2 linked regions of the Coturnix japonica genome follow. The protein of the gene in region 2 interacts with the protein of the main gene of each other region in a pairwise test. Links are inferred from orthologs where the notes say so. Each region holds a gene or a part of one and is shown on either strand. Other genes may lie near its edges.

Region 1 (3,944 bases), on a different chromosome or scaffold from region 2:
TTGCCATCAGATAAAGCATTCACACAACATTTAGGACAGCTAACACAGGAAATTGAACAGAAAAGCTTCCATTAGGATCTGAAATGTATAAATGTATCCATAGATGTATACACAAAGCCTTACTCTCAGCTCTGGCCCTGAAAGTTCCTGATCTGTTCATTTTCACTTTTTAACAGTTGAATGGAAAACGCTACACTGAGTTGAGTTGTGAGAAAACACATGTATTTGAGCATTAGTTTGGATTAGGTTGGATGTTAGGGGGAAGTTCTTCACTAGGAGAGCGGTTAGGCCCTGGAACAGGCTGCCCAGGGAGGTTGTGGATGCCCCGTCCTTGGAGCTGTTCAAGACCAGGTTGGACGGGGCCCTGGGCAACCTGATCTAGTAAAGGTGTATGTTTGGTGGCCCTGCCAGGCAGGGGGGTTGGAACTACATGATCCTTGAGGTCCCTTCCAACCTGGGTCATTCTGTGATTCTGTGATTAGTTTCATATCCTAAGATTTCAGGAGACTGCAGCAGAAAACAATTCCCCCAAAAGCTGATCTATATCAGATAGAATTTATATAAAAAGCTACTATCATATGAATTTGTATCCAAGAATATTAAGCTACTGTAAACAGCTCATTCTCAAGTTTAACGCAACTTTTATAGAAGACTTTATCCATACTCACGGAAAAGCATAACTACTACCTATGTAGTATTTAAAGCTCAGTAGAGAACAGCAGAACTCTGAAAAACCATTTCTAATGACTTGTCAGAGTACACACAGAGCAGTACTCTGTGACTCTTGAAAAAGGACATTTTCTGCAGTGCATTACTATTGATCAGAGGATAACCTTTCCACACAACAGACTCCAGGCTTATGAATTTGTACAGGACTAAGCACACCAACAGCCTAACACTTTCTAGAAAGCAAACCGAAAAGCTTTTTTTCCCCTCATATGCAGAACTTTAAGCCTATACACACGTTTTCAGAAGTTTGCTTTACCTATACTAGGCTTGTTTCGTTTCTTCACAGACACACAGAAGGAAGTGCTTCAGTTCCCTGGACCTGTCTGGAGCTATTTTACAAGCTACAAGCTTTACAAGGAACAGATAGAAGTTAATTAATTAAGAGTTCTACTACAGCAAGATTTGCACTAAATAGAATGCTTAAGGAAGCACTCCATGAAAACAAATATATGGAGAAGAAAAAATTGGGTACTACTTTATAAACAGAAACCTTCCTTGGAACTGTAGCTTCTGGATGAGCAGCACAAGGAAAACTGAAACTCCATGTTTATTTATTTATTTTTAATTATTTTTTAATTATGGGTTAAAAGGATCCAGAGCAGTTCAGCTATAAAGCATAACACAAAACTCCCCGTAACATCAATACATCATATGCCTTGCAGGATTCAGCTGTCCACAGCACGTACAGTAGAGTTAGAGCTGCACAAAGACATTACTAATTAGAGATTTCTTCCTCTTTCATAGTAATTTTTAGCAGTAATTTTACTTCATTTATCTTTATAGACAAACATCACTTAAAATGAACAAAGCTGCCAGTTTTAAGAACTTGGGAGTAAAATCAAGAAGACTTGGTAGCACGGAACCACAGAATGGCTTGGGTTAGAAGGGACTTTGAAGGCCATCCAGTGCCAATGCCCTGCCTTGTGCAGGACTGATGCTCATCAGATCAGGACCCAGGGCCCCATCCAATCCCACCCCGAGCACATCCTGAGGTTGGGAATCCATTGCTTCTCCGTGCAGCTCCTCATCACCCTATTCCAGTGATCCCCAGTATTACACACTTTATAACCCCACCAAGGTTTGACCTTATGTTGTAAAAGTTCGGCAGCAGAAACAACTTCCAAAAGAAAACGAAGCGAGAAGTCAGACGGCGCCTCGCGTTGCTTTGATGTTTTTCCCACTTCACTCTTACAGCAACAGTTCAGAAGGGGATGTTCCACACGAAACAAACATCCCCCAACCTGAAATCCCCTTAAGCCCTTCCTCGGAACCGAAGTACCCAGAACCCACATCAAAAGTACAAGATCTCTCTCCCTCCCCTTGGGGAGCCGGGGCCTTATCTAAACAAAGCCCCAACAGCTCGGAACCGCTCCCCGGCCCGGCCCGCAGCCCCGCCGCGCCCACCTGCGCTCCCCCTCCCTCCTCCCCCAAGGATCCACGAGCGGATTCCGAGGATCTACGAGCGGCCTTCCCACCCCACCACCCGCCGGTCCCGGGGGAGCGATGCTGGGGGACCTCCGCGGTCCCCCGCCCCCGGTTCGGCCCTCACAGCTCCGCATCTCGGCCAGACCGGGGGGGGCCCACCCTTACCCAGCAGGAGCAGCTTCACCTCCCTGGCCGCTTTCTCGCCGTCCTCTCGCAGGTTCCTGTCGATCATCTTGCTCCTCTCCACCGCCGCCTTGTCCTCGGCGCTCAGCGTGCAGCCCATCTCGGCAGGGGCTGCGTACCTCGCCGCGGGGAGAAGCGGGGAGCGGAGAGCTCCGGAGAGGCGTAAAAAAGGAGGGGGGGGAGCAGAGCCCGCCCGCTTTCTTTCTCCCTCCTTCCCCACCTGAAGCGCAAGTAAAGGGAAGAGCGGAGCAAAAAGAAGAAAAAAAAAACAAACCAAAACAAAAAACCCACAAATTTGTACAAAAAAACACCACAACGAAACAGGGGGATGTTTCCCTCGATCCGTCCCCGGGGATGCGCTGCCCCTTCCTCGACTCTGCTGTACACCACCCCCGTCTCTCCGCTGCTCGCGGCGGCGCGCACAGCCCACAACGCCGCGGGAGGGAGAGAAAGGGGGCGTGCGCGTGCACGCGAGGGAGGGCGGGGCGGGCGGCAGTGCGCCTGCGCGCAGCATCGAGCGGCCGGAGCGAACCTCAGGCTGCCGTGCGTGTGTGTGACGTCAGCGCCCAGCTCCGCACACCTGGCGGCGGGCGGGGGGTAAGGGCGGGGATGGTGCTGAGGGCTTGAATTTAAATAGCTCTTAGCGGGAGGTTCCATTGCGTTGAGGAGGGAACGCCCAGTGAAGGCTGTGCTAATGCCTATAGGGTTTGTTCCGGAGACTGAGAGCCGCCTGTGGTAGGGTGACCGACTTTCTTAGGCATAGTCTCACAGAATCACAGAATGACCCCGGTTGGAAGGGACCTCAAGGATCATGTAGTTCCAACCCCCCTGCCTGGCAGGGCCACCAAACATACACCTTTACTAGATCAGGTTGCCCAGGGCCCCGTCCAACCTGGTCTTGAACACCTCCAATGACGGGGCATCCACAACCTCCATGGGCAGCCTGTTCCAGGGCTTAACCACTCTCCTAGTGAAGAACTTCCCCCTAACATCCAACCTAAATCTTCCCTCTTTTAACTTAAAACCATTTCCCCGTGTCCTGCTATTGTCAGCCCTTTCAAAGCGTTTACTCCCCTCCTGGGAGTAAGTTCCCGTCAGGTATTGAAAGGCTGCAATGAGGTCACCCCGCAACCTTCTCTTCTCCAGGCTGAACAAACCCAACTCCCTCAGCCTGTCCTCATAGGGGAGGTGCTCCAGCCCCCTGATCATCTGGTAGCCTATGGCTGCTAATATCTCCACCTGCTATTTGTCGCCTCCTGCTGCCTCACTGCTGACAGCCATCATCCGACCTCCCCTCCTTCGTACCGCGGCAGAGGCCTTGGGAGCAGCTGGTGTGATATGATGTGATGTCGGGAGGGTGCTCGGCTTTGTGCTCAGGGGTGACCCCTGCGACTCCTTCTTGTCACCATGTAAACCCAGTACAGTACCACAGAACCTGTATGAGACAAAACTTTCTGAGTTGAAGGATAAGTTTCAGTCAGAACGTCACATGCAAGCACAAGACAAGCATGTTACATTCAGGTTTGTCTTCTGTAGTGAGCCTTTAAGGTTACTTATTTTTCTCACGGAATGGGCTCTAAAAGTAGAGCATTTGACAGCACAGGTGA
Region 2 (4,496 bases):
AGTGAGTTCCCCACCTCTGGCCTATTCTTCACATCCCGCAGTGGAGGCAGCACCTACAAGGCAACAGCAAGGAGCAATCAGTGGAGCTGGAACAGCAACCACAGGGTATGCAGGGAAAGAAGTGCGTGCATTATACAACTATGGGCTACAACCTCATGTATGTTTGAATCTAAGAGAGAGAGGAGGTCTCCTTAGAGAATGGCAATATTCAGGTAGCTTGCTATTCTCCTCTCTCCTCAGAGCACCACCACTTGACTTTCAGCTGAACCCATGATGTACCTTCGCCTTCAGGAACTTCCTTGTCTGGCGATGGACTCTGGCACTCTCGGTCAGCAGGTTCAGCACAGGGGTCAGACTCTCCTTCAGCTTATGTCCCTGCAGAAGCATTCACAAGATGAGCAATGCATCAGCTACACTGAGCTCAACTTCCCTGGCTCATGGTGGAGACCATCAGTGCTGAACCACAGGGAAACAGAGGGGCACTGAGACGTAACAACAGCTTCTGCTACAGGAAATTCAGTGTTTCATCACTCCTCAAACAGCAAGGCTTTCTGTGTCCCTCTCTTCAGCGTTTCTACTCACACAGAACATCTAGAGCAGAGAAGTGCAGCAGTCAAATTTGGAGACCCTCTGGAATAACTCCAGAGAATGAAAATGGCCACTAGCTTAACAACAGTGCAAAATCAGGCTGCCAAAAGCAATGGAACAGAGGAGGACAAGCGCTTAGGAGGAGGAAAGAAAGATGAATGGTCTTGACAAATAACATTATGACTGCCAGTCTTCTGACAGCAGACTGTGGGGACAGCATCATAACAAGCCACCAGTCAAGAGATTTGGCTGTATCAAACCAATTCAGCTGCCCAACAAATCATAATTGACTTGAGTGAAACAGAGCACCTGTATTTGAATCACACAGCTAACCATCTGCTGGCTCTGTCAGTCTCACTACCTGCCAAAGCAACAGTGCCACAGCAACCCTCCCAGTTCACAAATGTTCTAGTCCAACCAACTAGAACTGCCACTTCTATACTGAATTCAGGCTGAATGCAAGCTTCCTTGTGCCCTGCAGTGAGCTTGTGTAAACCAGCAGTGAAAAGCTCTGTACAGCAGCCTCTCAGCTTACCCTGTCAAGGCGCCGTTCTAAGAAATCCAACAGGATATTAACTGCATCCATGTTGACACCCATGTACTCAAGTGATCCTGGACGGACTTTTGGAGTCAGGAGAACATCCAGACATTTCAGAGGCAGGTTGCCCAAAAGATTAACTGTGTGGCTTAAGAAAGAACAGAGGTGAATACATAGTCAAGGATCTTTGTTCACAGAAACTCATCAACTATACAGGAATCAAGGTTCATTATTAGCTTCCAGGATCAAGAGGACTCTGAAAACAGACCCAAACTCTCTTTGGGTTGGATCCCAAGCTACCTATACCACTAGAATTGAGCAAGTGTAACTGCTTTCCTTCCCCAACCCTCATAGTTGAATAACTTGCTGGAAGTCCAAAAATTCTTCAGTGACAACAGAAAAACAATGGACCTTGACACAGAGGCCAAGTAGGACCAAGTAGGTCTCTAGAGTCTCCTGCTGCATCACTCATTCATACTCTGATGGCTGTTGTCAGGCAGGGCCAGTGTTGGGGAGACCTCAAGTCTGTGTCCAGTGAAGGCCATTATGTAGTTATCTAACAGACCTGTGGAACTCCTCCGTCCGGTCCTCTCCGTCAGCACAGATCATGAGGCAGTGGCGCAGGAGTGCACCCAAGTGCCGGTACAAAGCAGCATCTTCCTGGTTCCAAAATAGAAAATGGAAACCTTGATCAGAAAAGGGTCTCCACAAACCAAAGCCTGTTGTCTCTACAACCCACAGCCCCATCCCTCCCCTCCAACAACTTGCTCACTGACAGCAGGGTGTATATGTGCAACTATCCTCCAGATTCTCCATCTGCTGCCAGATATCTTCCCCATTGCCCTACAGCACCAAGTCAGGGGCTGGAAGAGGCCCAGGAGTGGGCACAGGGATAAAATAGACATGATATCAGACCTCCTTCTGACTTTGTCCAGAGGTGAAAGGCAGCAGGACACACACAAGTGAGTTATGTGTACATGGGGGGGTTCTGCTTTCCCACTTGCACAAGTCAATATCATTAAGAAGGAAAAATGCCCAACTTACAGGTCTTAATGCTGTAAAGTCTTAATGCATCAGAGGCAGTGCCCTGCAGAACAAGGTCCACACACACAAGTCTCTTGCTACCCTTACATGCAAGCAGAGGCTGCAAGGGGGCTAGTATCTAACACAACATAAGAGTAGACAAGCAAATGTAGTGTGGTGCAACACTCGAGGAGCTTACCTCATCCACCTCCCTCTTGCTGGAATCAAAAGTAATATTGAAGAGCACTTTCAGGATCTCCATGGCTCGCTCTGTCTCTTGCCGAGGCAAAGGTGGAAGCAATCCTTCCTCAGTGGCAACCTCATAGGGGTCCATCCACTTGACACCAAGAGTCAGCTCCAGGGTGTCTGTCATCAGGCTGATGCCCCGGAGCTCCTGGGCTAACTGCTGCCGGATATCCACTCTCAGTGCTGTCAGCAGGAAGAGAAGACGCAGGTCAAAGAACTTGACTTCATGAGGAAGGCTCCTCTCGTTGTAGAGTTTGATGCGCTTTGTCAGGCCCACTGCCAGCCGGGCTTCAGCTGTCAGCTCCTGTGCTCTCGGACTGCTGAAGACAATGTTGCAGAGGCATTTGAGGGATTCCAGGATGACCTCCAAGTCCGGGACCTCTCGGATGAGCTCCTCTGAGTAATCAATGCCAGCATGCCTGGATAGGGTCTTCAGCCCTTCCTCGGTGCTGAAAGGCTCAAGGCAGTATTTGTCCCGTGACAGGATGCGGATGCTTTCCAAGCACGTGACCTGGCAGGATGGCTGGAGCTCTCTCTCCAGAAACTTGATCAGCAACTGGGCCATTTTCTGCGTGGTTAGAAACAAAGAATGCCACACATGCTGACACTTCACAGTGCAGCCCCAACGCAAGGTAGCATGCTGTAACACCTAGGAGCATCACCTAGATACAAAGCATCATCTAGATACAGGCCTTCTAACAGGCAGCTCTCAAAGCGTTTGCTTCTGGCACCTGATGCTGACCCAAGTCAAGCAAGGACAACCAGCAAGAGACAAAGAATGGCTGGGGAGTGCTGTCAGAATTAAGTGAAGAATAGGAACAGGCAGCTGCTGCTGAGTGAGTGAACTACTGCTTATTTTAGCTTCACCCATGGTTAGGATGGTTTTGGCTAATATGGATTACCTGACAGCTGCAATAAGCTAAGAGAACAGTGCAAAAAAGTCCCTTATATCTTCACTGAGAAGCAGCACTCAGTTCAACAGCAGTGGTTCAGCCTCACCCAGAGCATTAAGACTAGAGAAGCTTCTGCTTTGGGTGCTCCAAACAGGCTGCTGAGGCTGACACCAGAGAACTGCTGTGGGAGGGGAAAAAGAACTTAATGGGTTCAGAATTGTGTGTGATGTGGTAAGAAAGGAGGGGAAAAGACCTCAGAAGATTCAAATAAAAAGGACCTCCCATAAATTTCAGTGCTGTCTGGAGACCTACTACCCCTTCATAGGTACAGACTGACAGCTCCAGTAACACTGATTTACCACAGCTGAAGATATAACCCTTGTGGATAACAATAACATACATGATAGCAAACATGGAAAAGTACAAGAGCGAAAGGTAAAGCCTCACACAACCCAGTGCAGCTAGGTTGTAACTACACATAGCAACACGTCACTCCACCATTAATCCCCTGCTTCCACACACGACCCACCACAAAACTGGTCCAGATGGAGAATAACAGAGATAGAAGAAAAATGTTCTTTCCTAAAGCAGATCCTACCAAGCATATCTGCAGTGCAGCCGTGCAAAGGCCTGCCCCAGCACAAGAGAAATGCCACGAGTGGAAATGGACAGGGGTATTTCTTTCCACTGAGTGCCAGATTATTCCAGCTTAAAGGGTTTGTTAATAGACAGCTTTGGTCAAATCCTGCAGCTCGCTCACAGCAGAAGCACTTACCCGCATGCTGCTGTTATCTTTGCTTAGCAGACTGCACCATTTACACACACACACACACACACACACACACACACACAGGATCATGCTTCTCATGCATGCTGCTGAAGCCATATGCATCACCAAACCCAAAGGGATTGCTAATGTTGGAAGAATACTGATTTTTATCCCCAGCCACCATCTACAGGACAACAAGAACAAGAAGCCAAAGAGCACGCCTACCTTCCTCTCCTCCCGTTCCTCATCATCAAAGGTAAAGCATTGAGATTTCTGTAGAGCAGAAAAGAAAGTATGAGTTTAAAAATCCACAAATCTGCCTTTCCCAAACAGGGAATAAGCTTGGAAAGCAACTCTGAAAAGCACTCTATAAAGACAAGTAAGCCTTCTCAAGAAGTCTTTACCAGCACAGGGAATCAAAGAGGCAAAGAGTGTTAAA

The links.
Region 1: the proteins of RIC8A (region 2) and guanine nucleotide-binding protein G(i) subunit alpha-1 interact in binary tests that used the Homo sapiens proteins (3 or more experiments, as listed by UniProt). The link is inferred for Coturnix japonica from reciprocal best matches to the Homo sapiens genes RIC8A and GNAI1.

The regions. Positions count from the first base shown.
Region 1 is NC_029516.1:10,240,701-10,244,644, forward strand, and holds the start of guanine nucleotide-binding protein G(i) subunit alpha-1, read right to left. Parts: upstream 2,801-3,944; 5' UTR 2,438-2,800; coding exon 2,320-2,437; intron 1-2,319. UniProt on the Homo sapiens protein: Guanine nucleotide-binding proteins (G proteins) function as transducers downstream of G protein-coupled receptors (GPCRs) in numerous signaling cascades.
Region 2 is NC_029520.1:1,396,331-1,400,826, forward strand, and holds part of RIC8A (synembryn-A), read right to left. Parts: intron 4,331-4,496; coding exon 4,283-4,330; intron 2,964-4,282; coding exon 2,349-2,963; intron 1,787-2,348; coding exon 1,692-1,786; intron 1,275-1,691; coding exon 1,124-1,274; intron 376-1,123; coding exon 280-375; intron 54-279; coding exon 1-53.